Linked DNA regions of Cricetulus griseus. The protein of the gene in region 1 binds, or shares a complex with, the protein of each later gene. Links are inferred from orthologs where the notes say so. Each region holds a gene or a part of one and is shown in the gene's direction. Other genes may lie near its edges.

What was found.
Region 2: Alyref (region 1) and Thoc7 share a complex: the UniProt entries of both Homo sapiens proteins name them as parts of the transcription/export (TREX) complex. The link is inferred for Cricetulus griseus from reciprocal best matches to the Homo sapiens genes ALYREF and THOC7.
Region 3: Alyref (region 1) and Thoc1 share a complex: the UniProt entries of both Homo sapiens proteins name them as parts of the transcription/export (TREX) complex. The link is inferred for Cricetulus griseus from reciprocal best matches to the Homo sapiens genes ALYREF and THOC1.
Region 4: Alyref (region 1) and Magoh share a complex: the UniProt entries of both Homo sapiens proteins name them as parts of the ALYREF/THOC4-EJC-RNA complex. The link is inferred for Cricetulus griseus from reciprocal best matches to the Homo sapiens genes ALYREF and MAGOH.
Region 5: Alyref (region 1) and Ddx39b share a complex: the UniProt entries of both Homo sapiens proteins name them as parts of the transcription/export (TREX) complex. The link is inferred for Cricetulus griseus from reciprocal best matches to the Homo sapiens genes ALYREF and DDX39B.
Region 6: Alyref (region 1) and Thoc6 share a complex: the UniProt entries of both Homo sapiens proteins name them as parts of the transcription/export (TREX) complex. The link is inferred for Cricetulus griseus from reciprocal best matches to the Homo sapiens genes ALYREF and THOC6.
Region 7: Alyref (region 1) and Thoc3 share a complex: the UniProt entries of both Homo sapiens proteins name them as parts of the transcription/export (TREX) complex. The link is inferred for Cricetulus griseus from reciprocal best matches to the Homo sapiens genes ALYREF and THOC3.

Annotation. Positions count from the first base shown.
Region 1 is NC_048600.1:133,091,013-133,095,243, reverse strand, and holds the start of Alyref (THO complex subunit 4), read left to right. Parts: upstream 1-1,431; 5' UTR 1,432-1,469; coding exon 1,470-1,703; intron 1,704-2,026; coding exon 2,027-2,158; intron 2,159-3,466; coding exon 3,467-3,614; intron 3,615-4,207; coding exon 4,208-4,231. Other genes in the region: Anapc11 (anaphase-promoting complex subunit 11), read right to left, coding at 578-686. UniProt on the Homo sapiens protein: Functions as an mRNA export adapter; component of the transcription/export (TREX) complex which is thought to couple mRNA transcription, processing and nuclear export, and specifically associates with spliced mRNA and not with unspliced pre-mRNA.
Region 2 is NW_023276807.1:171,880,540-171,884,623, reverse strand, and holds the start of Thoc7 (THO complex subunit 7 homolog), read left to right. Parts: upstream 1-1,284; 5' UTR 1,285-1,396; coding exon 1,397-1,415; intron 1,416-1,565; exon of another isoform or gene 1,566-1,734; intron 1,735-4,084. UniProt on the Homo sapiens protein: Component of the THO subcomplex of the TREX complex which is thought to couple mRNA transcription, processing and nuclear export, and which specifically associates with spliced mRNA and not with unspliced pre-mRNA.
Region 3 is NC_048595.1:236,160,915-236,164,414, reverse strand, and holds the end of Thoc1 (THO complex subunit 1), read left to right. Parts: intron 1-1,576; coding exon 1,577-1,724; intron 1,725-2,313; coding exon 2,314-2,389; intron 2,390-3,025; coding exon 3,026-3,321; 3' UTR 3,322-3,432; downstream 3,433-3,500. UniProt on the Homo sapiens protein: Component of the THO subcomplex of the TREX complex which is thought to couple mRNA transcription, processing and nuclear export, and which specifically associates with spliced mRNA and not with unspliced pre-mRNA.
Region 4 is NC_048595.1:41,959,463-41,963,497, reverse strand, and holds the start of Magoh (protein mago nashi homolog), read left to right. Parts: upstream 1-1,235; 5' UTR 1,236-1,330; coding exon 1,331-1,418; intron 1,419-3,508; coding exon 3,509-3,567; intron 3,568-4,035. UniProt on the Homo sapiens protein: Required for pre-mRNA splicing as component of the spliceosome. Plays a redundant role with MAGOHB as core component of the exon junction complex (EJC) and in the nonsense-mediated decay (NMD) pathway.
Region 5 is NW_023276806.1:231,768,469-231,772,464, forward strand, and holds the start of Ddx39b (spliceosome RNA helicase DDX39B), read left to right. Parts: upstream 1-1,196; 5' UTR 1,197-1,353; intron 1,354-2,019; exon of another isoform or gene 2,020-2,042; intron 2,043-2,096; exon of another isoform or gene 2,097-2,172; intron 2,173-2,510; 5' UTR 2,511-2,635; coding exon 2,636-2,846; intron 2,847-3,394; coding exon 3,395-3,522; intron 3,523-3,731; coding exon 3,732-3,824; intron 3,825-3,996. UniProt on the Homo sapiens protein: Involved in nuclear export of spliced and unspliced mRNA. Component of the TREX complex which is thought to couple mRNA transcription, processing and nuclear export, and specifically associates with spliced mRNA and not with unspliced pre-mRNA.
Region 6 is NC_048600.1:43,199,643-43,203,918, reverse strand, and holds the start of Thoc6 (THO complex subunit 6 homolog), read left to right. Parts: upstream 1-1,476; 5' UTR 1,477-1,576; coding exon 1,577-1,615; intron 1,616-4,180; coding exon 4,181-4,276. Other genes in the region: Hcfc1r1 (host cell factor C1 regulator 1), read right to left, coding at 162-297, 509-637, 1,085-1,170. UniProt on the Homo sapiens protein: Component of the THO subcomplex of the TREX complex which is thought to couple mRNA transcription, processing and nuclear export, and which specifically associates with spliced mRNA and not with unspliced pre-mRNA.
Region 7 is NC_048596.1:273,511,545-273,515,478, reverse strand, and holds the start of Thoc3 (THO complex subunit 3), read left to right. Parts: upstream 1-1,134; 5' UTR 1,135-1,223; coding exon 1,224-1,490; intron 1,491-1,999; coding exon 2,000-2,156; intron 2,157-3,525; coding exon 3,526-3,730; intron 3,731-3,934. UniProt on the Homo sapiens protein: Component of the THO subcomplex of the TREX complex which is thought to couple mRNA transcription, processing and nuclear export, and which specifically associates with spliced mRNA and not with unspliced pre-mRNA.

The DNA of each region.
Region 1 (4,231 bases):
TCTGAACTTCAGTGTGCTGGGCAGGGGTATCCTCATTTGTTCTGCTTTGCTTGGAGAAAATTCAAACTGGAAGTAGCATTTTGAGGAATTAAGAGAATGACCAATCATCACAATGTATCCCAGGCAAGCTTCAAACTCAAGCCTCCTCTTGCCTCTGTCTGTGCCACCATGCCTTGGCAAAAACAAAAGTGTTGTTTTTGTTTATTTGCTTTTCTTTGTTTTTACAGACAGACTCTCATTATGTAGCCTCCAACTCAGAGGCTACCTGTTTCTGCTCCCAAATGCTGGTATTACAGATGTTTGCCACCATGCTGGATAGGGTCTTTATACAAAAGTGAGTTTGAAGAATTCGTTTATTTTCTGTCAACTTTCCTTCAGGAAATGGAAAGTAAAACCCACGGTTTTATTTTCTGGTTTTCTTAGTTTTTCGAGACAGGGTTTCTCAGCGTAGCCCTAGCTGTCCTGGAATCTCGGAGATCCTCCTGCCTCTGCCTCCCTAGTGCTGGGAAACCCAAGGTTTTCAAGGCTGGTGGAGCTGGCCGAAGTTCTGAGAGCACGGGGGAGGGGGGGCACTTACAGTCTGGACAGCAGCCATTAAACGCCATCCTGCAGATGCCACAGTTCTCATCGTTGGCTACCCAGAGCCACGTGGCCACACCATTCCAGCACTTAATCTTCACCTTCATGGCAGCAGAGCGTGCGACCTGAGGGAAGAGGGTTTCCTGGCTAAAGTTACTCTGTATTACTACCACAGACGGCACTTGAGCATTTAAGGCGGGGAGCTGCGTGCTAGGCGCCTCCAGGGAGCCAGGCTCCCAAGTTGTTTTGCTATGTTGAAGGTCGTTTTTAGAGCTGTGCACCCAGGTAGCGGGCCAGGCTGGCTCACGCCTTTAACCTCAGCGCCGCGGAGGCAGATCCGCCCAAAACCAAAGGAGGAAAACAAAAACAAAAACCACTGCATCCATGAAAAACACCTCGGTTTTCACTCACAACCCGCGCGTGACAAGCCATCAGCTTGCTAAATTTAAATAAAATTAAATTTTAAAAAACCATCCCTTCGAGCCCACAAACCCCAAATCGGATCCACAGATCGGCCCCCCGCCTCGCAGCTCAGGGACTCGGCGGGCGGACGGACCGAACTCGATCCGGCGCCTTCCGGCCTGCGCAGGGCGGATCCCAGGCCAGGCCCCGCCCACGCCTCGCCCACTCCACCTAATCTCGCGGCGCCCCGCCCTTCCGTTGCAGGAGCGCGGGAGGTATAAAAACGACCGCGCCGCGCCGGGCGCCACACACTCGCGCGGGCCGTCCTCCTGAGCGCAGCGCAGGCGCCCTCCGCTCTCCGCGCGCGCCGAGGCCAATCAGGGGCAGCTTCGGGGGCCGCGACGCCGGAAGACCAGGGGAAGCTCCGGAAGTGACCTAGCGACGTGCTGACGCGCGGGCTCGATCTGAGGCCCGATTCCGCGCCCGCCATGGCCGACAAAATGGACATGTCTTTGGACGATATTATCAAGCTGAACCGGAGCCAGCGAGGCGGCCGCGGCGGAGGCAGGGGCCGTGGCAGGGCCGGCGCCCAGGGCGGCCGCGGCGGGGCGGTGCAGGCGGCCGCGCGGGTGAACCGAGGCGGCGGGCCTCTGAGGAACCGGCCCGCCATCTCTCGCGGCGCCGCCGCCGGCGGCAGGAACCGGCCGGCTCCTTACAGCAGGGTGAGCACGGGAGGCGCGGCGCCGGCGGGGCGGGCTCCCGGCGCCCTGAGGCGGGCGGGCGGGCGTCCTGCGGGAACCGCGGGAACGGAACGGAACGGAGGGTGGGCGGGGGCGACGCCGCGCGGTGAGCGAGGCCCCGGTCACAGGCCGGGATCTTCCGGGACGCTTTGTCCGGTCCGGTCCCGCCTCGTGGCGGCGGAGCGGCGGGCGTGGGGGTCGTCTCCTCCGGGCTCTCGGGCCGCCGTGAGAGAGAGAGTGTGAGTGCCGGGGAGGGATCGGGGCGCCCGAGACGAGGTCGCTCACGAACCTCTCTTTCCCTTCAGCCGAAACAACTTCCAGACAAATGGCAGCACGATCTGTTCGACAGCGGCTTCGGGGGTGGAGCCGGCGTGGAGACCGGCGGAAAACTGTTGGTGTCAAACCTTGACTTTGGAGTGTCAGACGCAGATATTCAGGTAAGAGACCAGAGCCGTCCGCATGCTTATCCCCACACACAGAATCCCTTCTGATCAGAGCCTGTGCTCCCCCAGGCTGCCCAAGGGCCAGCCGCTGCCCTCACAAAAAGTAGTATCCCCTGGGGTTTGAATGTGACTGATAGGTCAGGCTGCTTGGAAGGCAGCCTGGTGTGCCCCCAGAGTGGCTCTTGTCTGCTAACGTCACGAGCACCTGCCGTCTGCAAGGCTTACAGTTTCTAACGGGCACAGACTGGCCACAAGTCCGGTCCCTGTGTGACCGAGGGTGCTAGCTTCTCAGGCTTTGTGCCTGTAGTAGTAAGCTTATGAGAAGGAAAACTCTCCCCACCCCCACATGTCTGAAGGCACAGGGGTGAATGGTGGCTGTGTGTCTTCCAGACTGACCTTTCCTGGGTCTTACCAGGGGCATTGTTCTCATACCTTTGGTTGAAGTCTTTTTTTCTGTCTGTCTGTCTGTCTGTCTGTCTGTCTCTCTCTCCCCCCCCCCCCATCTCTATCCTCTCTCCCTCTCTCTGTCTTTCTTCTGGCCCTCAAATGCAATTAGAGTTAACAGAGCAGGTTTTTAGGAGTTAGTTTTGGGTCATGGGTGCTGGGCCTTTCTGGGTTCCCTTTCTCAGAGCCCCGCCATTTGGCCTTGTCAGGGAGCATAGAGCAAGGCCAGTGAGCACTCACAGTGTCTCCACACTTTTTTTAAGGTGGTTTCTGGCATCCACTGGAAACCGCTTTTGGTGAACTTCACTTCCCGCTGTGTGCCTGCGGCCGAAGTAGCCCCACACTCTGGGTTCCCTCTCCAACTCCCAGCCTGCCTGAGGTCAGGGCAGTCTCCATGGCGCATTTGACTTCAGACTTTGCAGCAGGCTTGAGTAGGAGGAGAGGGAAAGGTGAGCCAGAATCTGCCTTTGGGGGAGGGGCTTGGGTCACAGCTCCCCAAATCAGTGGGCCCTTTGAGCTGTCTGCTCTATGAACAGCTTCCCTTGGTTTTTCTCTTGGCCTTTGCTATCTGATGAAACAGCCATTAGTCAGGTTGTGAGTGCCCTTGCTGAGAGAGAGGTAGTTTCTGTGTGCTTCCTTCACCTGCATCATGGTACAGTCACACACGTCCCAACGTGGACAGGAACCCAGGTGCTCAAAGTGACACCCTTCCCTCACCTCTTGATTGCCTCTGCCCCGCCCCTTTTCTGGGTGGTGGTCAGTAAAGTAGCACCCAGGAACCCTCACAGCTACTGAACTGAGCCTCTAGAGGGAAAACAGCTTAACTGCTTGGCTAACAGTTGCCCTGTCCACTTCCAGGAACTCTTCGCAGAGTTTGGAACGTTGAAGAAAGCAGCCGTGCACTACGATCGCTCTGGCCGAAGTTTAGGGACAGCAGATGTGCACTTTGAACGGAAGGCAGATGCCCTGAAGGCTATGAAACAGTACAATGGTGTCCCTTTAGATGGTGAGTATATGGGGCTGGGCCCAGGATGCCTGGGGCTTACGGAGTTTGGGGCTGGCACCTCTCCCTGTAGGAATATGGGCTGCCCCTGTGGCTGAGGACACTTTGCATTTGCCCCTTTGTCTCTCTCTTCCATTCTGCCACCTCTCATGCTGCCCCACACATCTGGACCAACCTCTTGTGAACCCCCATCCAGCAAGCTACATCCCTCCCCTCCTTCAGCTCCTTCCGGAAGATTCACTTCTGTGAAGCCTTCTCAGAACCGCCATAGTACAACCTGAGTGCGGGGCTGTAGTCGTAAAGACAAAGGTACCTGTTCTTCTTCCGTCAGGCTACCCACACCTGTCCACCCATGAGCACCCTGGACACCTGACCAAACAGCCCTCTTAGCCTGAACTGAGAAGGAGTGAGGAGGTGTTGGTGGGGTGTTATTGCCACTTTATTTTCCCACCAGGCTCTCTAGGCCTTGTACCTTGTTGGGGGCATTGGAGACACACAAAGGCCCTTTCTAGAGCTTGCATGGAGACCAGGGTGTGGTGCCTTCTGGGTCAGCTTCAGAGCCTCTGGAGTGAGACTTGTTGTATTCTTTACCATAGGCCGTCCCATGAACATTCAACTCG
Region 2 (4,084 bases), on another chromosome or scaffold:
ATTATCCTTCCTCTTACTTCAAGGAAATGAACAGGTTCAAAGTCCAAGTTATGAAAGCCTTTAGCCAATACTCTTTCAAAGAGTCAGGGACTGCAGCTTCAGTATTTAGAAGAGGTCAGTTATGCCTGAAAATCTTCATTCAAGATTAATTTCTGTCTCTGTGACAAAAGTCCGTAATGTACTTGACATATAATCCTGCCAAGCAGCAAAAACCACTTCACTAACATACATTGAATGGTTCCAAGTTTTCTGCTAAAGAACTGAGGGAATTCTGGGCAGATGCATAGACCCCACTTCAGAAAAGTAGTCTGAACCACCAAACTGACCCCCCACACAATTGCTTTATGCAGGATCTGAGGATGCAAGGGACTTGGGAATCACGAAAACTGGAAAACAACAAAAACCTGGGTTCCAAAGTCGAGCACGCTTCTGGGTGTAAAGCTGTCCTGCTGGATGTCAAATCAACCTTACCAGGGGTTGTCTCTCACCACTTACATGGTTCCATTCAGGAGACACTCATCATAGTGATTTTTCTGGAAAGATGACAATATAATCTGCAGAGTGCTCCAGCAATATGTACTCTACACCCCAAGCAACGTTTTTCAATGAGCAGCGCCACCTCCCCCAACACCTTCTACTTTCAACTTCCCTTTAAGAAGCATTTTTTTTTTTTTTTTTTTTTGAAAAGCAGAGATAATACGAAAACGAAGGCACCCCATCTGGATTCTGGCACCGAGGGAGAACTGGGTGAGGGGCAAGGACGGCAGGGACTAAGCTCCTGGTTCTGAGCAAAGTACTCCCAAAGGTCGCCAAGTTTCTATCCCCCACTTTGCCAGCACCTGCCAGAGCTCAGGAAGGGAGGATGGCTTTCCGCGTCCGCCTCAAGGACCCGGGTTCGAGACCCGCCGGGGCGCGCGTGGGCGCCAACTTGGCGACAGTCGCCGCGGCCCCATGCCAACGAGCTAGTGGAACCCGGCGGCCGGGGGGCGGCGGTCACCCGGAGCGGCAGGCGCGGAGCCCCCCGAGCGCGCGCAGCCCGGAGCTCACCTGGCGGCTGGCCGCGGCCTCCAGGGCGGCCTGTGGCGCGGGCCGGGCGGGGACGACGGGGTGCGCGGGCCGAGCCGCCGCCGGCCGCCCGCCTCGCCCTTCACCCGCCGGCCGCTCCGCGCCCCGGGAGAGCAGCGAGCGCGGGCTGCGCGGGTCGCGCGGCGGCGGCGGCGGCGGCGCGGCGCAACTCAGGAGTCGGAGAGGCGGCCGCGGGCGCCGCCGCCTCCTCCTCCATGACTGTTTACCCGGCTGCATTGTGGGAGTTTGACCTCCGTCGCCAACCGCCGCCTCAGCTCGCGCGCCGCCGCCGCCGCCGCCGCCGCCGCCGCCGCCGCCGCGCGCGCACGCCATGGGAGCCGTGACTGACGGTGAGGCCGCCGCGGGGTGCGGGGACGCGGGGCAGCGCCGAGATCCGGGCCGTCCGGGGTGGGGGCTCCCGGGGCGGCCGGGAGCGACGGAGGGCCGGGCGCCGAGCCCGGGGAGCCCGAGTGATGCAGTGCGCCGAGGGGGCCGCCTGGGGGGCTTCCCAGGCCGGGCTGGGTCGGGCCCACAGGCCGTGCGGCGGGCCCCCGGGGGCCCTGGAGTTCGAAGTGAGGTGGATTGCGGGCACCGAGCTGGGGACAGCCTCCAAAAGGAATAGGGGTGTCCGGAAGGCCGGTCGGGAAGTGTATCTGGGCGACTTACAAGGTAAAGCGCCCCGTGGGATGAAGCCGGCGGCTTAGACCGCGACCACTGAAGGAGGGCATGTTGGGGAGGGTGGTTTGTAGGCCTGGATGAATTGAGGGTGATGGATTGTGGACAGCTGTGGTCTGTGGACTGAGAGCAGAAATAAGGGGGCATTTCAGGGAGGTATGGACAGATGCGGCGGGAAGCTGGAACAAGAACTTAACATCGGTACCTGCTTTTGGTAGAAAGGTTTCTGTGGCTTGGAGCTATTCTTGAGAGGGTGACCAGTAGCTATGGGTACCAGTGGACTGACATCCAGAGAATGGGAAGAACAACTCAAGACCCAAATTTGAGGACTGTTGGAGGAAAAGTCTAGGTAGGGATAAATAGAGGAATTTTAATCTTATTTTATTCCAGTTTCGTTTATTCAGTAGGTATTTTCCGTACTTCCAGGCAATGCTTTACTTATATTTTGCAACCCAGAACAGGCAAAGAAGTTTGCTCTTGTATGTTTGCAGTTTGGATTGACTGTAAACGTTAAATAATTGGGGTAGGGTAGGGGTGAAGGTATGGTGTGTGTGTGTGTGTGTGTGTGTGTGTGTGTGTGTGTGTGTGTGTCTGTGTGTGTGTGTGTGTGTGTGTGTCTGTGTCTGTGTCTGTGTGTGTGTGTCTGCCTGCTGCCCTCCCTGCCTCACCTGTTCCCCAGGCAGGCCACCCTTCCCATGTGGCAGTTAGGGGACAATTTGCTGAAGTCACTTCTTTCCTTGTGGGTCCTGGGGATTGAACTGAGGTTGTTGTTGATCTGTCTCTACTGGTGATTAGAAAACTTGAAAAGACTTCCTTCTCACCCCCATTCCTTTGAAGGATGAATGGATATATTAGGACTGGAATTACAAATGACCAGTCATTTATACAAGTCCCAAAATGCTGAAAGAAATTAAATATGTCATGTAGTAATTAGCTAGAACTTAGAAAAAGTTAAGCACCATGAATTTTTAAGGTCAGGGGAAGCCACTGGAAATTTTGTTTGTTTGATTTTTAATTTGGTTTAGTTTGGGATTTGGATTCTTTTGAAATGAGGTCTTCCTAAATGTATCCTAGGCTGCCCTGTAACTTACTATGTAGATCAGGCTGTCCTGGAACTCACAGAGATCCCCACCAGCTTCTGATTCTGCCTCCTAAGTGCTGGGACCAAAGGTACTCCATGTCATATCAAGACAAGTTTTAAACATTAGTGCAATGTTTAGTGCAACATTAGTGATCAGATCTGCTTATATTTAATTACTTGAAGTGTTTTTTTTTTTTTTTTTTCAATGCTGAGGACAGAACCCATGCTCCTATTCATAAGAAAAGTGTTACATCCTCATCCTGATCTACGTGATTTAAAGTGCACATACCCATTCTACTGTGTGGAGAATATTAAGGAAATTGGAAGGGAGGTGCTGAAATCACTTTCCCCTTCAATAACATAGTACTTGTAGCATGTGTGGTGCAATGTTCTAATTATCCCCATTTTATACATAAAACTGATAACCTAAGAAACTTGTCCAGAGTTGTAGTGGTAGTAAGTTCCAGAACCTGGGCTTAAAAACCAAGCCACATCCTGTGTGTGTGTTTTGTCTGCACGTGTGCTTGTGTACCACATGTGTCTGGTGCCTGTGGAGTCCAGAAGAGTGCTGGGAATTGAACCCATACCTCTGTAAGAACAGCCAGTGCTGTTAACTGCTGAGGCATCTCTCTGACTGGCTAATATGCACTGAGCTCAACTCCTGCTGCAGTAGTGCTAGTGAAAGGTAATTGGGCCAGCACTCCAACTAAGGGGATTCAGTAAGTGAACTGGTCAGATGTGCTGGGATGTCAAAAGATGATCTTATGTTTCTTATTTGTGTGGATCTGTGCCTTGCTCCAGAGGAGTGATGAATTTTTCAGGTGAGAGAAGGGAAGGAATGGTGAGTTACAAACTTACCAACTGCAGCCCCCTAATCCTTAGAAGCCATAGGAATCCCCAGTTGACAACTACCAGCTTCTGACCTTGTGGAGGTTACCTAGCTTCTTTGAGGCTCAGTTTTGCTCTCTGTTAATTAAGCTACTAATAAAATCTACCCTGGAGTGCTGTTTTGGAAGTAAAGGACATTGTACTGAATCACACACATGCTAATGTTCAGTGAATCTTTCTAAATACAGAGTACCCTTCCCTGTCTTGTTATGAGGGAAGGAAATTGAACTGAAGTAAGAACTAAGTAATCAACAAATGTGAGATGCTAGCTAGGTACAGAAGGAAATTAGAGGGAGAGGGTGCTGGAAGGGGAGCATACATGCCTCTGTGTTAGTTGGATTAAACTAAGACCCTTTTGTATGCTATGCAAGCACT
Region 3 (3,500 bases), on another chromosome or scaffold:
GTTTGCCTTTTGCTTTGCTGTCCCCTCCACCCTAGATTTCTGGGGTAACTTTTAAGACTCACCATCTTTTATCTAAAGAGTTTCATGTGACAGTATTTTTAGGTAGGTGTTTTGGAGTTGTGATTTAAAGGCAGGGGCTCTCGTCAGAATGTGTAAGTTCCCATCCTTGTGCCTTTTCTCATTTGCTAAATAATAGCCACTCATTTCACAGAGTTATTCTGAAGATTAAATGGTTCGTTTTGATCCATATACAGCATGTTGCTGACACATGATATAAATGACTAGTTTTGACCCCATGATACGTTTTTACATGCTCCAACCTCTTAACCAGTGTGTTCTATTCTCCATGCACCAGAGAGTGATCTTTTGAATATATACAGGGAAGAAAAATGTATCAGAGATTAAGGGTGCTGGCTGTTCTTTCCAGAGTCTGAAATGACATCTTCTGGCCGCCTTTGGCATACACAGATAATCATGCAGGCAAAACACCCATATACATAATAAAAGTCTAAAGTATACAAGAAATTATGTTGGGCATGGTTATACACACCTTTCATCCCAGCACTCAGACACAGAGGCACGTGGATTCTGAGTTTGAGGCCACAAGTCTACATGGTAAGACCTTGCCTAATAATAAATACATACATACAGACAGACAGACACAAAGGGCAGGCAAGGTAGTAGCACACACACAGAAAGAGTGGACATGGGAGCACATACTTATAATCCCAGCACTCTGGAGGCTAAAGCAGGAGGATTAAGTTTGAGGTTAGTGTGGCTTATAGAGTAAGATCCTATTAGTAAAATACGCACAAGTCTCATCTCGTGCTTAAAATGAAGAGTGTATATCAGAGTTAATAAGAGGCCACCAAATAAACCAGATTGCAGATCTGTGCTAAATACAAAGAACATAACAAAGCCCAAGATAGAATCCGTTTATTGGGGGCGGGAGTCCTTAGGATTTCTCATAGGTTCTTTTTCCTCACCTTCTGATTCTTTTCTTGACATCAGTGTGTCACTACTGTGGGTACTGGATATTTGCTCTTTTGACATTTTGAGCCATTTTTAATCATTGACATTGAAATTAAGTGAACTAAAGATTAGCTGTTACATAAACACAACTCTAAATACAGGTCCCTTATTGAAAATACTTGCGGCTGTGTTTTCAGATTTTCCCCCCCATATTTGGAACATTTTAGACCCTAGCAGGTAAGCATTTTAAGAAAAGTTAAACACTTAAGGTTTTAGGTTAGAGATCTCCAACTTGTATTAGTTACATTAACATGATAAACTCGAATTTATGAAATACTCTAAACTCACATATCTGTAGGTAGCAATGCAGATACAGATACCAACCAACTCACCAAATATCATTTTTCCTATCTTTCCTTTTCTTCTGTATAACTGGATGAATAGTTTCTATGTAGCCAGGGGTTGAGACATAGACCACTGACTTGCTAAAATAAGCAAAATATATAAACTTTCAAACTAAAGGATGGTACAAAATGTCATGTGACATGGAAACAACTATGGAAGTGGATAATTATAAATCCAAGGCTAACAACTCCTCTTACAGAGCTGTGAACAATTCAAATTATGGGTGGAGAGCTCTCAGGCTCTTAGCACGAAGAAGCCCTCACTTCTTCCAGCCAACCAACCAGCAATTTAAGAGTCTGCCAGAGTACCTGGAGAACATGGTAATAAAGCTAGCCAAGGAACTACCAGTAAGTGACATACTTCATTTTTCCCATTTCCTTTAGTAGACATTATCTGCTTTAAAACTGCTATCAGTATTTGAGCAGAACTCAAATTTTAGTGTATCACACAACAGTAGTAGTGGGGGCGGGGGAGGACACACACAACTTGAGGCAGAGGTTGTTGTTGAACATTCACTTAGGGAGAAAATGTGAACCAAGAGTGGTATAATTTTCTGTGCAACACCCAATTTATCAACATGTTGGAAAAAGCTACTGCCTGCAGTAAATTGGATCAGTTTTTGCTCTTACCAAATGTATTTTACTATATTTTGTCAAGAGCAGGGTCTAGGAGTAGCAGTAGGGTACCTGGCAGTGTTTTCTTATAGTACGGTAACCATAGACATGGTTAATCTCTATTGCCCCTTAGACAATACTGACTAAAGCCTAGGTGTTTACCAACCTGCTTGTTCATGCTTCTCTGTCTTCCTTCTGCCCAAAATGACAGGACCTACAGGTTGAGAGGGTCTGAGGTCCATTAATTACCTATCTAAACTATTTCCTGTTATCTTCAGAAACTAGTGTTTTTTTAAACACCATTGTTTCTCATTTACTATAGCCTCCTTCTGAAGAAATAAAAACAGGTGAAGATGAAGATGAGGAAGATAATGATGCTTTACTGAAGGAAAATGAAAGTAAGAATTGAATTTTTGAATTGAAATTGAATTTTTTGGCTATTTCACAAAACTGAAAAAGATTAGGGTTCTTTGTTGAGAGGTACATTGTATAATTTGGTCTACTTCTCAACTTCTACCATTTTATCTCAGTTTACAGTGAGATTAAAGCCATTAGTCACTTAAAATACATTTTATATAGGGAAATTTGGAAATAATTTTAAAGATAAAAAAGATGGGTGTTTTAAGGCAGAGCCTTGAACTCTGCTAATTTAATTGGGGCTAGAAGGAACATCTCTATGGGAAAATCTTCCTAATTAATATAGCTTTGAGCTGGGCGTTGGTGGTGCACGCCTTTAATCCCAGTACTCGGAAGGCAGAGGCAGGCGGATCTCTGTGAGTTCCAGGCCAGCCTGGTCTTCAGAGCGAGTGCCAGGATAGGCTCCAAAGCTACACAGAGAAAAACCCTGTCTCGAAAAACCAAAAAATAAAAAATAATTGCCTGAATTGTGATTTTTTTTTTTCCTAAGAAGGTATGTAACCTATGTAGAATTAAGTTTTAAAGTAAAGCTTAATGTGACTAGTAACCCAGTTTTTTGTTGTTGTTCTTTAAGCTTTGCAGGTCTTTCAGATAATTTATATCCTCTTGTCTTCTAGGCCCTGATGTTCGGCGAGATAAACCTGTAACAGGGGAACAGATAGAGTTATTTGCCAACAAACTTGGTGAGCAATGGAAGATTTTGGCTCCGTACTTAGAAATTAAAGACTCTGAAATTAGGCAGATTGAGTGTGACAGTGAAGACGTGAAGATGAGGGCCAAGCAGCTCCTTGTTGCCTGGCAAGATCAAGAAGGAGCTCATGCAACAACAGATAACCTGATCAGCGCACTAAACAAGTCTGGATTAAGTGACCTTGCTGAAAGCCTAACTAATGACTCCGAGACAAATAGTTAGCTTGCTTTCTTTTCTTTCTTTTTTATTAAACTGTGATAAGATTTTGTTACCAAGCGGCATTTGATAAGAGGTCCAGTGGTTTTGGTAAACAATAAACAGTTTTATAACAGCTGTTGCACAGTTGGTTAGTGCTTCAAGAACTACAAAACAGGCACTGTCTAAACCTTAGTTTGGAGTAT
Region 4 (4,035 bases), on another chromosome or scaffold:
TGTGTGTGTGTGTGTGTGTGTGTGTGTGTGTGTGTGTGTGTGGCTTAGAATCACTGTGGGTAAGGTATCTGGGAGTGGGAATCCAATGTCCACTTTAACATCCTCCCACAGCACCTATCCTAGACAGCAGTGAGCCTGGGAGACAGGAGAGATGAGAGGCAACTTGTGCCTAAGAGGTGACACTCTTGGAAGTTGAGGTAGGAGGGTCACAAGTGCCCCGTCAGTCTGCACCTTGCCTATAAATTGTAAAATAAGCAAACGGCAGAAGGGGATGTTGGCAGTGCAGACAAGTTCCAGGCAACGTTGTGGATTGGGGAAGGAGTCATTGAAAACGGGGGGGGGGGGCGGGGGGTGTTGTTTGTTTTTCGAGACAAGGCTTCTCTGTAGCTTTGGGGTCTGTCCTGGAACTCGCTCTGTAGACCATGCTGGCTTCTAACTCACAGACATCCACCTGCCTTAAGGATTAAAGGTGTGCACTAACACTGCTCGGGGAAAAGTTTTCTTAAAAGAGACAGCCAGAGCTGTTAAACAGAGTAACTCTGTCTGGAAAACCCAAAACAAACACACAAAAGTAAAGCGAGCCGGGCGTTGGTGGTGGCGCACGCCTTTAATCCCAGCACTCAGGAGGCAGAGGCAGGCGGATCTCTGTGAGTTCGAGACCAGCCTGGTCTACAAGAGCTAGTTCCAGGACAGCCTCCAAAGCCACAGAGAAACCCTGTCTCAAAAAAAAAAAAAAAAAAAAGTAAAGCGAACTTTTTCGAGACAGGGTCTTACAGTATGCAGCCTCTAGCCTCAACTCGTGACTCCTGGGCGGCGTTAAGCTTTTGAGTGCTAGGCCACAGCTATTCGCTACTACACTGCCCCTCAAACGCAACTCCTGATTCAGACCCTGGGGGTGGGGAAGGGGGCAGCGTGCTCAAAGATGGGGGAGCCATTTTTTGCCCATTTTACTGTGGAGACCACCTGGGTTCAGAGTGTGAATGGCCTCTTTCGTGTGTCTTTACATTGCGGTTGAGCCTGACTGGACTACAGATCGCAGGGTTGGCCCTAAGCCTATAGGTAAAGCTGCCCCGTGGAAGCCCAGGACGTAACGGAAGCGCAGGACCTCGCAAAGCACTCGATTTCCGGAAAGGAGGAGCGGTGATCCGGATCTCGCCGCAGGACGCGGGGGCGGGGTAGTCTCGTTCCCGCCTCCCAAGGGTGAAAAAACTGTTATTAACGGCGCGGTTGTGGCGTCACTTCCGCGCGCCGCCGTTACGTCAGTAGAGGGCGCAGATCGTGGTAGTGTGATCTGTTCGTAAAGTTCGGTCTTGATTGTCCCGTGTGAGCCATGGAGAGTGACTTTTACCTACGTTACTACGTGGGTCACAAAGGCAAGTTCGGTCATGAGTTCCTGGAGTTTGAATTCCGACCTGACGGTAAGAGCGGCCTCCCGCCTACAAGGAAGGGAAACGGGACCTGGGGGAGGGCGGAGAGGCCGGGCCGCGGCTTTTGTGAAGGAAGGGACTGAGACCGGAGCTCTTGGGTTGTGAAAGGCGTAGTCTTTTCTTTCGGCCTCACTGGTCCTTTCTGTCCATACGCTGGAGCTTCTCCTTAGTAACTTTTGGGTTCTTTTGGTTTTTCGAGACAGGGTTTCTCTGTGTAGCTTTGGAGCCTGTCCTGGCAGCCTACTCGCTCTGGAGACCAGGCTGGCCTCGAACTCACAGAGATCCGCCTGCCTCTGCCTCCCGAGTGCTGGGATTAAAGGCATGCACCACCAACGCCCGGCTTCTTAGTGGCTTTAAAAAGCCAGGTTGTTAACGTTTCAACAAAGATTGATTGAATGTCCATCTTACACCGGGCCGTGTTCCACTCTGGGGACAGAGCCACGAAGATAAATTTCCCCTCTCGTGGAACATGTGTTTAGGTACTGGGAGAAACCATAAACAGTGATCTCCTGTAGTGAGGAGTGATCCGAAAATAGGGTCTCTTTTTCGAGAGCACTCTGAACAGTGGGTATTTGAATTGAGCCGGAATCGAGAAGGGACCAGTCAGTTTGTGAAGCTCAGGAAGAAAAGTCTTCTATCGGAGTGGCAAATGTAGAGGTCATAGGACAGCAAAGAACCAGGCATGTTTCAGATGGCCGTTGAGGTGACTGAAGGACAGAATTCTAGGGAAACCAGTAGGAGATGATGTTAGGTGTTTGTAGACCATAAATAGGAGCAGCAGGAAACAGCTTGAAGCTTATAAGAGAAAAGGTGTGATGATCTTCAGAAAGCATCCTAGCGCTTGGACACAGAATAGACATGAGATGGCGGTCGGGACTAGGACAGCTAGGACTATAGACGTGGAGAAGACTTAGGATACTGTTGGAGACGATCTGAATGTATCTGATTGATAATATTTTGGGACGGTTGTGGTGTGGTGAGGAGGCAAGGACAATTCTACTCAAATCTTTCCCTTTTTCAGTTAGTTCTCTATAAGATGGACAAGAACATGTAGCAAGAGGCCTGTGTAATTAGATGACTGTAGTTCTCTGATACTGTCAATAACTTCCCTCTGCCTTCCTGACAAAATTCAAACCCCTTACCATGGCATACAGCCAAGCTGAGTTCCTGTCTGCCTTTTCAACCCTACAATACTCTGCCCACACTACTTTGTTTCTGCCTGCAACATCCCAAGCACTTTTTAGTTTCCAGTGTCTTTGATGTGAATTTGGTCCAAAACACCATCTTCTCTATTCTTGGTCCCTTAGCCCACACCTACACTTCACATTCTTCCTATATTCCACCCACCTAAGTCACTTTATGCATGAAACCTGCTCAGACAGTCAGACTAAATTAGATGCTTCTCCCCAAAGTTCCCTGTTTTTTTCTGCCACATGACACTATATACCCAAACTAGCCTGGTGGTTGTACTCATGCACAGAAGGACTTATGAACCAAATGTGCTCAATTTAAAAGTATGCAGAAATAGATCATACCACAAGACCACATGGGCATGTGTATGTCGCTTCCTACCGTTTTCAAAATACTTTCAGCATGTTCTCTGTGCAGGGAACTTAGCAATTATCATTTCTGTTTACAGCTGAGATCATTGACCTGCTGAAAAGCTATTTGCCAGAGTCGTAAAAGAGCCTGCCTGTGTTCTTTTGCCAAATCAAAGTAACTTTTGCCTGAACTCTATTTCAGTGTCAGGTTAGTCTTCAGCTGTTTCATAATTTAAAGTGGAGCACTGTAAAGACTAATATAATAGCTGTGAATTGGGTTGAACATTGAATATAATGCCGGCTACAGCGGTGGTTGCCCACACTTTTAGTCCCAATACTCAGGAGGCAGAGGCAGGTGGATCTCTGTAAGTTTGAGACCATTCTGGTCTACAGATCGAGTTCCAGGACAGCCAAGAGAGAGAATTGGATATAATTTAGGCAAAGTTGGTATTGTTAGTAGGCTACTGAGTTGATGTTTTGTTGTAAATTGCATTTATTTATTTATTTATTTATTTATTTATTTATTTATTTGCCCCACAGGAAAACTTCGATATGCCAACAACAGCAATTACAAAAATGATGTCATGATCAGAAAAGAGGTAGGACCCTGTCCTTCACTACCAGTGAGCCCTTTACATTGTTTCTGCGCTCTCTGGTAATAGTAATGAAAAGTAAAGAGTGGAGAAACAAATACTTCTTTTTCTTTGTTTTCTATTTGGTTTTTTGTTTTTGTTTCTCAAAACAGGGTTTCTCTGTATAGCCTTGGCCATCCTGAAACTCCCAAGCTGGGTTTGAAGGTGTGCTCCATCACACCCAGCTAAGCACTATTTCTACACGGCTAGATTATTTCTCACATCTTTGGTTTGCATGTTTTTTATTTATTTATTTATTTATTTATTTATTTATTTATTTGGATTGCTGAATTAATAACTAGCAACTTTTTGAAATCTCTGTGTTGGTTTGAACCCTCAATATGCTCCATACTGACCATGTGACCTCAGATAAGTTCCCTGGCTAAACTTGGTCACTATACTTCCATCTGCAAAATGAGGGATAATAAAACCTAC
Region 5 (3,996 bases), on another chromosome or scaffold:
TAAAGGGGCAATGTCCTGACTGGTGCAAACACAAGCCTTGATTTGCACGACTTTGCTGTGTTGGTGCAAACATCCTTTGCAGGCTGTAAAGTAGAAGTTTGACTCAGTTGGGGGGCTCAACGGGGATAAACCTCACTATGTTACTCTCCTCAGTGCTACTACGTTAGGTTCAATAAAAGGCCTCTCCCGAGGGGTGTTTCCTGGCCTTTTAGGAACAACAGGAAGAAAGAGGTGGCCTAGAGCCTGCCGTCTGGCTTACTACAAGAGTTCCTGGGAACTTCAAAGCCATAGGCCCCTGGAGCTAAAGCATTTCCTACTTTACCAGGGGCCGAGGAATCCCCACCTACTCCTAGGCGGTGGGAGGGGGGCGGCTGTCAGATGCTGAGGGTTGCGGACGAGGGTGCCAACTTAACAGCTGAGTAAAGTGTGCTAACAGGGGAAGCTCGCGCTTATAGTCGGCAGGACATCGCTCCTCGTGTATGCAGCATCTCAAAGAAGGGAGAACCACGTGTTTAGAGGGGGAAGAAGGCCCAGGCTGAACAATGGAGCCGCTGTGGTGGGACTAAGAGCACTCTGCCCTAATTAATAACCATGGAGCCGCGCGTTGGTGGCGCACGCGTTAATCCCCGCACTAGGGAGGCAGAGGCAGGCGGATCTCTGTGAGTTCGAGGCCAGCCTGGTCTCCAGAGCGAGCGCCAGGACAGGCTCCAAAGCCGCACGGAGAAACCCTGTCTCGAGAAAACCGATGATAACGACAACAACTATGGAAAGCTGCGAAGCCCTCAAACGCACCGTTTATTTTGTTAACGCGCGGGCAGAATGCAAACCTCCATCTCCTAAGTGGCCGCCTTGCCGCCGCCATTTGGGGCAGCTCCGCTCGTTCCCAGCGCAGCCGCGAAGGGCGTGCCCGCCCCCCCACCTCCCCCGGCCCCGGGAGCCTGACTGAGCTCGGCACCCTCAGGTCACCTTGGGTGCCAGGCTAAGGGCGCCGTGAGGACGCGTCCCGCTCGGCACGCAGACTCCGCGGTGCCCGAGGGCAGCCTGCGGGGAAAGGACGAAGGACGCCGCGGTGAGGGGGCGGGGAGGTGCGAGCCCGCGTCGCGCTCCGGTCACCGGCGGCGGCGGCGGCGGAGTCGGAAGACCTTTTCCGAAGGCACCCCCGAGCGGGCGCGGCCGGAGCCTCCAGGACCGCCGGCTTCCGGCTGCCGACTTCCGGTTTCCGGCATCGCGCGCCTGCGCCCTGGCGGCCGGGAAGGCGGCAGGCCGGGGGGGAAAAGCGCCCGGGACCGGAAGTGAAGGCAGGTTCCCGCCTGCGTCCCCGCCGCCGCCGCCATACGCGCTCGCAGTGCTTAGGTAAGCTGGGGCCTTGCGCGCCATCCGCCGCCATCCGCTCCGGCCCCGCCGCGCCCGCGCGCGCGCCCCTGATACCCGTCGCCCGGGCGGCGGCCTGGCCGCTGCGGCTCGGTCGGGCGCGCGGTGCCGTCGTTTTCGTCCCTTTCTGAGCGAACCTCGGTGGGGAGCGGGGAGACGGGGGCGACGATCCAAAATGGAGGCCCGGGCCGCCATTGTGTCCCCCGCTTCCTGGGTGGCCCGTGGGTCCCCTTCCCGCGCGGGCCGCAGCGGCCGGAGGCGGCGCTGGCGGGAGGGCGGGCCCGGCGCGGCCCGCGGCGGGGACGAGCAGCCGCCAGGGCCTCTGCTTGCCCGCTGCGGCGTCGGCGCTCCCGGAATGCTCACCTTCGGGGAGGAGCGAGGCTGGGGCGCGCCAGACGCTGTCAAGGCCGCTTGGCACCAAGTCCCAGCCTGAGGGTTGCATTTCCCCAGCTGAGAGCCTGCGGCTTTGAAAGCCCACCCTTGTGGCGAGCGCCTCGCGCGTGGCCGGGCAGGCATTAAAATGTAACTGTCTGCGCTGCCGGCTTCTGGCGTTGTTTGCCTGCTTTTTGGCCTTGAGCCCCTGGCGCCCCTGCTCCCGCGGTTAGGTGCAGCGGGCCCGCCTCCCCGCCCTCCGTCCTTCAGCTCCTGCTCCCCCAGGACTGGGGTCCCAGGTGAGCGCCTCCAGCGCGGCACGCAGGTGCCGCTGGACAGGGGAGTAAGTAGCAGCCACGTGATGTTTGCAATGGGAAGTGAGCGCTCCGCGCAGTGCTGACCTTCATCTATCACCCTTGACTGATGGCTGCTGGGGGGACCAACACCGTGGGGCCACAGGGAGAGCGCAGTCTGAGGTCCCCTCCTGTCCCACGCATTGTCACCCTCCCGCGGGTGGCTTCGGGCTCATCTTTTCACGGTCTCGGGAGTTGCTCCTCTTGGGTCAAAGTGCGAGCCCAAGTCTGTCCAGCAGTCACACCCGAGACCACTCTCCATTTTTTCTCGCCCGGTGTTCGTTTTCTCTTACTTTTCTTCCAGGGCAGAGGTTTGTAGTTGAGGGAGAACACGAAGAAAGTGAGGGTGGGCGAGAAGTCCCTACGTGACTGATGAGCTCTTCTTTTTTTTTTTTTTTTTGTTCTCTCTCCCAGCTCTTCTGTCGGGAAACTGGTGTCTCTTCCCTTGCTGTTCCTCAGCCCCCTCTCTCCCCCTTGCTTTCTCACCTTCTCTGGGACCACTCACCCAAAGACCTCCCTTCTCCCCTGCCGGCCCAATTATGGCAGAGAATGATGTGGACAATGAGCTCTTGGACTATGAAGACGACGAGGTGGAGACAGCAGCAGGTGGAGATGGGACGGAAGCTCCTGCCAAGAAAGACGTGAAGGGCTCCTACGTCTCCATCCACAGCTCCGGCTTTCGAGACTTCCTGCTCAAGCCAGAGTTGCTCCGGGCCATCGTGGACTGTGGCTTTGAGCATCCATCAGAGGGTACATTTTATTGTTGGGCATAGGGACCTCATGATGCATCTTAAAGATGGGATTTGTGTTTAGGGTATATAGGCCAGGCAATGAGAATGTACCCAGATGTTAGCGCTAGAAGATGCTTGTTAGCTTTGATCACACAGGATGCTGTTTGTCCTGTGCCCAGGTTTTCTTGTTTGCTTGATCGTCTTTCTGACTGTTTGGCTGGAGTTTTACATCCAGTATTTTGGGCCAGGCCACCTGGGGTCTTAATGATTGCTCTAAAGTTGCTGGCTTCTGGGGCAAGTACCAAGTCCTTCATTTTGTCCAAGGTTATAGAATGCCAGGCACATGGAAGGTAAGCTGTTGGTAGGTGCAAGAGGGTTTGCGCCAGGGAAACCTGAAGCTAGGATGCAGTTGAGACTTGATTTGGGTGTAAATGTGACTAAGGGGACAGAGAGGATGGGTCAGTCTGAAAAGTGACAGGGACCAGGCAAAATCTGGAGAATCAACTCGAGGAAAGGGGTTTGGTATGGTGCATAAAGTCTCTCTCTTTCTCCCCTTTTTCCTTCTAGTCCAGCATGAATGCATCCCACAGGCCATTCTGGGGATGGATGTCCTGTGCCAGGCCAAGTCAGGCATGGGGAAGACAGCAGTGTTTGTCCTGGCCACACTGCAGCAGCTGGAGCCAATCACTGGGCAGGTGTGTTTGAGGCAGTGCTGCAGAGGGCTTTGAGGCCGATACACTGAAGGCTGTTTGTGGCTACATAATGCTTACAGCAGCAAGGCTTACTGTTTTAAACCTCAGATTTGATGTCACAAATAACTTGACAGATGCTGCTGTTGACAGTCACTCTGGAGAGAGGGTGACAAAGGACTGATAGGGTGTTGTCTCCATTTGTTCCCTTGAAGGTGTCTGTGCTGGTGATGTGTCACACTAGGGAGTTGGCTTTTCAGATCAGCAAGGAATACGAGCGCTTCTCAAAGTACATGCCGAATGTCAAGGTAAGGGTGAGGCGCTTGGGACAGCGGAGGTCCTGGGAGCTTGTGGGGTAACAGTTGACTGTCCTGAGGCATGGAGCCGCTGTAATTGATGAGTTCCTGAAGGCTGCATAGGAGCCTTTAGTACAGTGACAGGCTCTTCTGATCCACAAAGTCAGTTCAGGGGCCCTGGGCT
Region 6 (4,276 bases), about 90 Mb from region 1:
GTGATACTTTCCCCTTTCCAAGCTGCTGCCCCTCCCATTCAGGGTATCACTGAGCTTGATTATCATCTGTCCTGTTACAGGGGAAGGACCTCATCCTTTTCTGGGGGTTGCTGGTCTTTGTTGTCAGGAACAAGGTGAGGAGGGACACTGGCCATCAGCACTTAGAGCTCCATGATATCCCCAGCTGGGGATGCAGGGTAGTAGGGACTGGGAGTATCCCCCAGCCTCAGCAGTCTGAGGGCCTCAGGGATCAGGCTCCCGGGATAGCGCCAGAGAAGCAGCTCTGGGCAAGGGCTCCTGAAAGAAGAAGAGAGACAGTGAAAGTATGGGGCAGAGGCTGGCCTGGCAGAGCCACCTCCTACCAGGTCCAGATCCCCTGGAGCCAAAGATGGAAAACAGCACAGAAGTTGGCTAGAAGCTAAAAATAGCATGATGAGGCAGATCATGAGGAGGGGCTCTGAGGACCGAATGTGATTCTCTAGAAGGCCCTGCGAGGGGAGGTGCCTACCTGAGTGGTGGCAGGGCTTGGGGAAAAGTCACAGGGGGACTGCAGTAGGGGTGGTCATTATGTAGGCTGAGTCGGGAGAAGTGGGTGGCCATGTTCTCCTCAGACAGAAACTGCTTGTGCAAGGGTTCCCTGGGGGAAAGACCAGAGAGGAACAGAGGGTGGAGGCAAACTGATGAGGACCAAAGGTGACATCTAAGGAGACCCATCTGCCCCCAAACTTAATGCTCCTCCAGGGGTTTCCGTGCTCATGGGCACAGCTCCTAGGAGAGGGGAGCTGGGAAATAGAGCCAGGTGTAGCCCACCCTCTCTCTTTACCTGAGCTTGCAGAATAAGCCAGGATTCCAGAATCAGTCTTGTCTGTGTGGCCTAAGCCACTTTACTCTCTCAGGCCATCATCCACCAGGCTACCTCGGAAATCCTGACCGTGGCTTCCCAGTTCCAACACAAGCTCAAACACCACGGTTTCCTGTACCACCTTGCCTCTCTTCCCAGGATCACCCTACTGACCGGCCCTGGGCCCCCAGCCAAAGCTCTTGCCCTCCGTTAGTCCGGCCCACGCAGGGGCCGCTTACGCACCTAGCGTCCAGGCCGCGAGTCACCCCAGTGGTGGCCCGTGGATCACGATTTGGAGGGCCTCGCTCCAGGGGCTGTTGTAGGATCATTACGGTCCGGGGTCCTGCAGATAGAGGGGTGGGATCCAGGCGGCAGAGGCGGAGCCTTTGAGGGCGTGGTACAACGCGAGGGGCGGGGCTACCGGCGTGCTCACTGGAGACGTTCGACGCAGGCGCGGAAGGCGAGCACCGCGAGGTTAGAAGGCGGGACAGGTCGGCGGGGTGGGGGAGGGGATTCGGTGTAGCTGGGCAGTCCTGGACGCTACTTAGCGTAAGGGTGCTTCGCAGAGTTCCCCTAGGTTTCAGTGGTTCGAGACAGCACCGACCTGCCGCCTTAGTTGTTGAACGGCCGACAGTGCCAGGTCCTGGGGCGCAACGAGAAGAACCACTCTCACGCACGTAGGGAGTCGAGAGGTTGTGTCGCGCCTAGAGCCCTCTGGGACTTGTAGTTCTGAAGATGGATCACGTCGCACCGTCGCCGGTGCCTCTGGGTCAGGTGAGTCGAGTGTGCGCACAGTGCCTTCTGGGGTTTGTAGTCTTGCCATGACCTGGTGGCCAAGAAATACTCGGACTCTGACTCTGACCCCCCCAGAATAGTGATCCCCGGTCCTTGGGATCTAATAGTGACATAGGGACTAAATGTCAGTACATTTTACTGTGAAGGATAATAAAGCCACTTTAAAAAAAACTAGCCGTTGGACGTAGTTCCACACACCTGTAATGCCAGCACTGGGAAGGCAGAGGCAGACATATCTCTGTGAGTTAGAAACTAGCCTGCTGCATAGTGAATTCCAGGTCATCCAGGGATACATAGTGAGACCCCAACTTAAAAAAAAAAAAGTTTAATCATTGTACATGAGCCTTTTTTAAAACCCTGGGCCTTAGACGCAGTAAGAACATGCTCTGTCATTTAATTATACCCCAGCCCAAGAACTGCTTGTTGTTTGTGAGACAGTGTCATATATCTCCAGCTTTCTTTGAACTTTGTTATATAATGGAGAATGACCTTGAACTTCTGCCTCCCTCTGAATGTTATGGGCTATTGGGTGTGCCATAATGCCCAATATATACAGTGCTGGTGCGCAAACACAGAACTTTGGGTTAGAATAGGTTTTAGCGGTTGGAAAGATGGAAGAGGACCCAAGTTTGGTTCCCAGCACTCAAATTTCAAATCTTGTAATTGCCTGTAACTCCAGCTCCAGGGGATCTGCATCCTTTTGCCTGTGTGGACACCTGCACTCACTTGCACACACTCCCCTCACACACATATACACATAATTAAAAGCAATAAAAATAGAATCTTTATTTTTTTTTTCCAGACAGGGTTTCTCTGTGGCTTTGGAGGTTGTCCTGGAACTAGCTCTTATAGACCAGGCTGGTCTTGAACTCACAGAGATCTGCCTTGCCTCTGCCTCCCGAGTGCTGGGACCAAAGGCTTGCGACACCGCTGGCCGGCTAAAAATAGAATCTTTAAAAAAAAAAAAAAAAAAAAAAAGAGAGCATAGGCTTGTTGGTGGTGGAACATGCCTTTAATCCCAGCACTCGGAAGGCAGAGGCAGGTGGATCTCTATGAGTTTGAGGCCAGCTTGGTCTACGGAGATAGTTTGTGGATAGCCAGGGATTACACAGAGAAACCTTGTCCCCCCACAAAAACAAAAAACAAACAAACAAAAGAACATGGTCTACCCATTGAGTAGTTACCTTTTTTTTTTTTTTAAACAAGTTTTCAGGAAGTACAGCAGGCTGGCCTGGACCTCATAGAGATCTGCCTGCCTCTTCCTCAAGTGTTGGGATTAAAGGTGTGCCTCCACGATAGGCTCATTTATTTTCTTGTAAGATTTATTCATTGTTTTATGTCTATAAATGTTTTCCTAGCAGTTGTATGTGTGCTATGTATGTTTATCATATCCTCGGAGGCCAGAAGAGGCATCACAGGGGGCTGGAGAGATGACCCAGTGGTTAAAAGTGCTTGCTACTCTTCTGGAGGTACCAAGTTCAGTTTCCAGCATCCATATAGGAGTGGGTTTACAGATGCCTGTAATCCAGTTTCAGGAGACCCAACAAGCTCTTTTAGTCTTCATGGGCACTGGTATACACAGCACACACACACACAAATTGAAAAAAACAAAACAAGACCTAATGACTCAGTGCCTTTAACGTCAGCACTTGCAAGGCAGAGGTAGGCAGATCTCTATGATGCCAGCCTGATCTACATAGAGAGTTCTGGTACAAAGAGGGCTTCTTGTGAGAACCTGTCTGGAGGGACTGGGGGAAGTGACGTCAGCTCTCCTGGAACTGGAGTTACAGATGGTTGTGATCTGGCATGTGGGTCTGTAGGATTCTCTGCAAGAGTAGTGCACACTTACCTGCTGAGCCATCTTTCCAGGCACACCCCCCTATTTTAAAAATAGATTTATTATTTTTATTCACTTAGTTTTTTGAGACAGAGTCAACATATTTCAAGCTGGTCTGGAGTTTGCCTTGGAGTGGGGGAATGTCCTCCTGCCTGCAACTCCTGAGTGCTGAAATCACAGGCCACAAGTGTGTGCTTGTTTAATGCAGTGTGCAGTGCTGGGGACTGGTGCATGCTAATCAAACACTATCAGTTCAGTTACATCCTCAGATGTGTGTATGTGTGCGTATTTGAGACTGTCTCGTGTAGCCCAGGCTACCCTTGAATTCACTATGTAGCTGAGGATAATCTTGAATTTCCTCTGATCTTCCTGCTTCCAACTGTTAAGTGCTGGAATTACAGTTGTGCACCTACTAAACCTGGCTACAAAGCTCTTACTGTTCATTAGTTACCTAATTATGACCAGCGTTTCCTGGGAGTGCCATCTGTCTACTAAGCTGACAGGAGAGGCTTGGTGCTTGTTCTAAGTGTTAGGTACTGTGCCCCTGTTCTCCTTTTCTCACTCTCTTCCTGGAGCCACTCTTGTATGGGGAGATGCCTGTGGCTGTGGCTGAGCAGGGCTGAAGTCTGGGCAGGGTAGACAAACAGGAGTCTGCAGGAGGAGGACCCAGACCTCCCAGAATCTCCTCATCCACCCTCTTCCCACAGGCTGAGGTAGCGCAGGCCCTGCAGCGCCTGCACATGACCATCTTTTCCCAGAGTGTCTCGCCCTGCGGGAAGTTTCTGGCAGCTGGCAACAATTAC
Region 7 (3,934 bases), on another chromosome or scaffold:
AATATGCAATCATATGAAATATTTGAAAAAGAAATGTAAGGAGGGAAAATTAGCAAATAGATTTGTACCCAAAAGACTTCATTGATTTCACTGACACTTTTTTGTATAAAATCTTCACAGTTTCCAAAAATGCCTGCTTGCCTCTGCGTCCCCAGTGCTGGGGTTACAAGCCTTCGACACCACAGCTGGCTTCATACAGACATTTTCACACAAGTATACATTATATGTTGAACATATTCCTTCAGGGCCCCCTATCCCGAGCTCAGAGCTCTTGTACAGCGCCTTAGCTCATCCTGGAGCTCACCATTGATGTTTTTCCAGCTGAATATCTTTTGTCTAAGAGAGATGTAAGAAGTGGGAGGCGCTGAGATGTGAATGTAGCATACACAAGTGGTCACTTTACTTTTCACTCTTCTTAAAAATTTACTATCTTCAAAGCCACAGAGAAACCCTGCCTCCAAAAACCAAAAAAAAAAAAGAAAAGAAAAAGAAAAAAATTGCTATCATACATATGCAATATATTCTAAAAACTAGGATCAAAAGACAAAACAAAACCCCCAAACCAACCAAGCAACCTTGCCCAACCCAAACCAACAAATCCACACTCTCATTAACCAACTCCTTATTTCCACAAACAGCTAACCTTTCTCCTTTGCTGTGGCCTTCTGCTTTAAGGGAGGGAAGAGGGCCTTGTAGTGAAAAAACAGCTCTATTGAAAAGGGTATTTTTGTCCTGGCAGTGGTGGTGCACGCCTTTAATGTCCCCACTGGGGAAGCAGGAGCAGGAGAATCCGAGTTCGAGGCCAGCCTGGTCTACAGAGTGAGTTCCCGGGCAGCCAGGACTACACAGAGAAACCCTGTCTCGAGGGGAAAAAAAAAGATATTCTACTGGTAAGTAAACTGGAGGCTTTATCTTGGTTCTCTTCTTCGAATAAGCGAGACTATCAAGAAACGGGTTAGAAGACCATTAAAAAAGTCGAACTCTTCCAAAATGCTACTTCCAAACGTTAGAGGCGGACACGCGTTGCATGGCGGGATTTGCAGTCCCTTGGGGGGAGGGGCGCCAGTGAGACACGCGCGCCTGCGCAGAGTGACGCGGCGGCGTTCCTGGTGCATGCGCGCTGCTCCCGGCGCATGCGCGCCGCAGCGGCGCCGGGCCCGGTGTCTGTAGCCGCCGGTACGCGGTCCTTACTGAGAGAGAGAGCGAGGGAGCGAGACGGAGGCATGGCGGCGCCCACGTCGATCCTGGGGCCCCCGCCGGTCAGCCAGAGCGGCCCCGGCTCGATGGCGCCCTGGTGCTCTATGAGCAGCGGCCCGTCTCGCTACGTGCTCGGGATGCAGGAGCTGTTCCGAGGCCACAGCAAGACGCGCGAGTTCCCGGCGCACAGTGCCAAGGTGCACTCGGTGGCCTGGAGCTGCGACGGCCGTCGCTTGGCCTCGGGGTCCTTCGACAAGACGGCCAGCGTGTTCCTGCTGGAGAAGGACCGGCTGGTGAGCTTGTAGGGCCCGGCCCGGCCGGGAAGAGGCGGACGTGGTGTGGGCACCGTCGTTGGTGGTGCGGTGAGCGGGCGAGGCCGCCCGGAGGAGCGCGGAGCGGGAACCTGGTGGCAGTTAGGCGGTGGCGAAGGGGCTGCGGGACGGAGAGGTGCAGTCAGGTGGCCTGCAGTGGTCAGGGTCTAGAGCAGCCCTGGGCGGGGAGTGCTGGCATCCCCACGGGGTCGAGAGGTTTTATTTGGAAACGATAGCGCCTCCTTTGGGAATGGACCGTTGGATTGGGATGATGATGGTGGTGGAAGAGGGGAGGGCAGGAAGGGCAAGAGAAGAGCCAGTGTCCAAGCTCAGAACAATTCACAGGGGCTGAAGTTCTGGAAAGGACTGGATTCTTTTGGATCGTCCACATCTTTGCCGGTTTCAGGGTACCACCGTTTGGATAAAAGTTAAGTTGCGTGTGGAGGCAGGTGCATCTGTGTGAAGTGACACCTGGATTCTGCTCTTTTAAGGTCAAAGAAAACAACTACCGGGGCCACGGAGATAGTGTGGATCAGCTCTGCTGGCACCCAAGCAACCCTGACCTCTTTGTCACCGCATCTGGAGATAAAACCATTCGCATCTGGGACGTGAGGACTACAAAGTGCATCGCCACTGTGAATACTAAAGGTAACTTCAGAGAGAGAGGAGCCTTAGGTAGAAAAGCTAATTATAGTTTCCAGAAACTGTTGACCGTGTTCTTTGCAGCTAGTGCCACAGAGTGGGTTATCAGGATGATGTATACATGTCCGTCTGGAGGAGACAAGGAAGAGTAGAATTTGAGCACGTTTTTTGATCATCTGTAGTAGTTACTGGTCAGAGCGGTGGAAACAATACAAAGAGGAGTAGTGTGTGTGAAGGCATAGAGGATTTAGGAGATTCTGGCAGGTTAGAATGGCTGAAACCTGGATGATCTTGGTTTCCAAGAAATGATTGGAAAGTTGTACATCACATTCAAACGCTGTTTTCTTGTTATATAATACCCTGTAAATCTTGAGTCTAGCATAATTGACTCTAAGAGGTCATCTACAATCTTTTAAGAAACATTTTTGTTGTTTTTAGATTTTTAATTTTTTTCAAATAATTTATTTACTTTTATTTGCATTGGTATTTTGCCAGCATATATGTCTGTGTGAGAGTGTCAGATCTTGGAGTTACAGACAGTATGAGCTGCCATGTGGGTGCTGGGAATTGAACCCAAGTCTTCTGGAAGATCAGTCAGTGCTCTTAACCGATGAGCCATCTCCCCAGCCCCAGATTTTTTTCTTTTTCTTTTTTTTTTTAATTCTTTTTATTTTTTATTTTAGATTTTTTTTTTTATTTTCAAGTATGTGTGCCTCATGTATGCAGGTGCCAGAAGAAAGCATCTTATCCCCTATAAATGTAGTTACAAATGGTTGTGAACTGTGGGTGCTGGTGATTTAACTTGGGTCTCCTGGAAAACAACAAGTGCTCTTAAGTGCCGAACCATCTCTTCAGCCCCACAACAAAAATGTTTTTGTTTATTTATTTATTTTTAAACAAAGCATTTTTGCTTTGTTTTTTTTTGAGACAGGGTTTCTCTGTGTAGACCTGGGTGTTCTAGAGCTCTCTCTGTAGACCAGGCTATCCACTCAGAGATCCAACTCTCTCTGCCTTTGCCTCCTGAGTGCTGGAGTGAAAGGTGTGTGCCACCACCACCCTGCTCCGAAACAAATTCTGATAGATTTTTAAATGCACTATAGATAGTAAAGTGTGAAAGAAAAATGGCATTTTTGATTCCATGAAGTTGTGTGCAGTGTGGACGACTCCTGGACTTAGATGACAAGACTGGTTTCTGGGAGTGGTGTGACGTGGTACTTTTGGACAAATGTTAGCTGCCAGCAGCAGCTTTCTTCCATTGTCTTGGTGATTTGAGCACTGAAGAGAGCTCTGATCTTCTTTCTAGGGTAGCAGAATAAGCTTCTGGAGGAGGATGGGCAAGGATGATCTTGCTGATGGCTTGTGTCTGGGTTCCCAGGGGAGAACATTAATATCTGCTGGAGTCCCGATGGGCAGACCATTGCTGTGGGCAACAAGGATGATGTTGTCACCTTTATCGATGCCAAGACACACCGTTCCAAAGCGGAAGAGCAGTTCAAGTTTGAGGTCAATGAAATCTCCTGGAATAACGACAATAACATGTTCTTCCTGACCAATGGCAACGGTTGTATCAACATTCTCAGGTGAGGGGCTTCTGGCTAGAGGGACTGTTGTACCTCTGTACTGGGTGCTATGTCAGGTACATAGATGAGTTAAGTGTGAGCCTAACCTAGAAGACTTGAAAGAAAAAGTATTTAAAAATCCTAGTTTTTTTTAGGGGCACATTTGAGCCAGATATTCTGCATTTTATTGAGTTCTTACTGATATTGATTGTAAATGTTCACTTA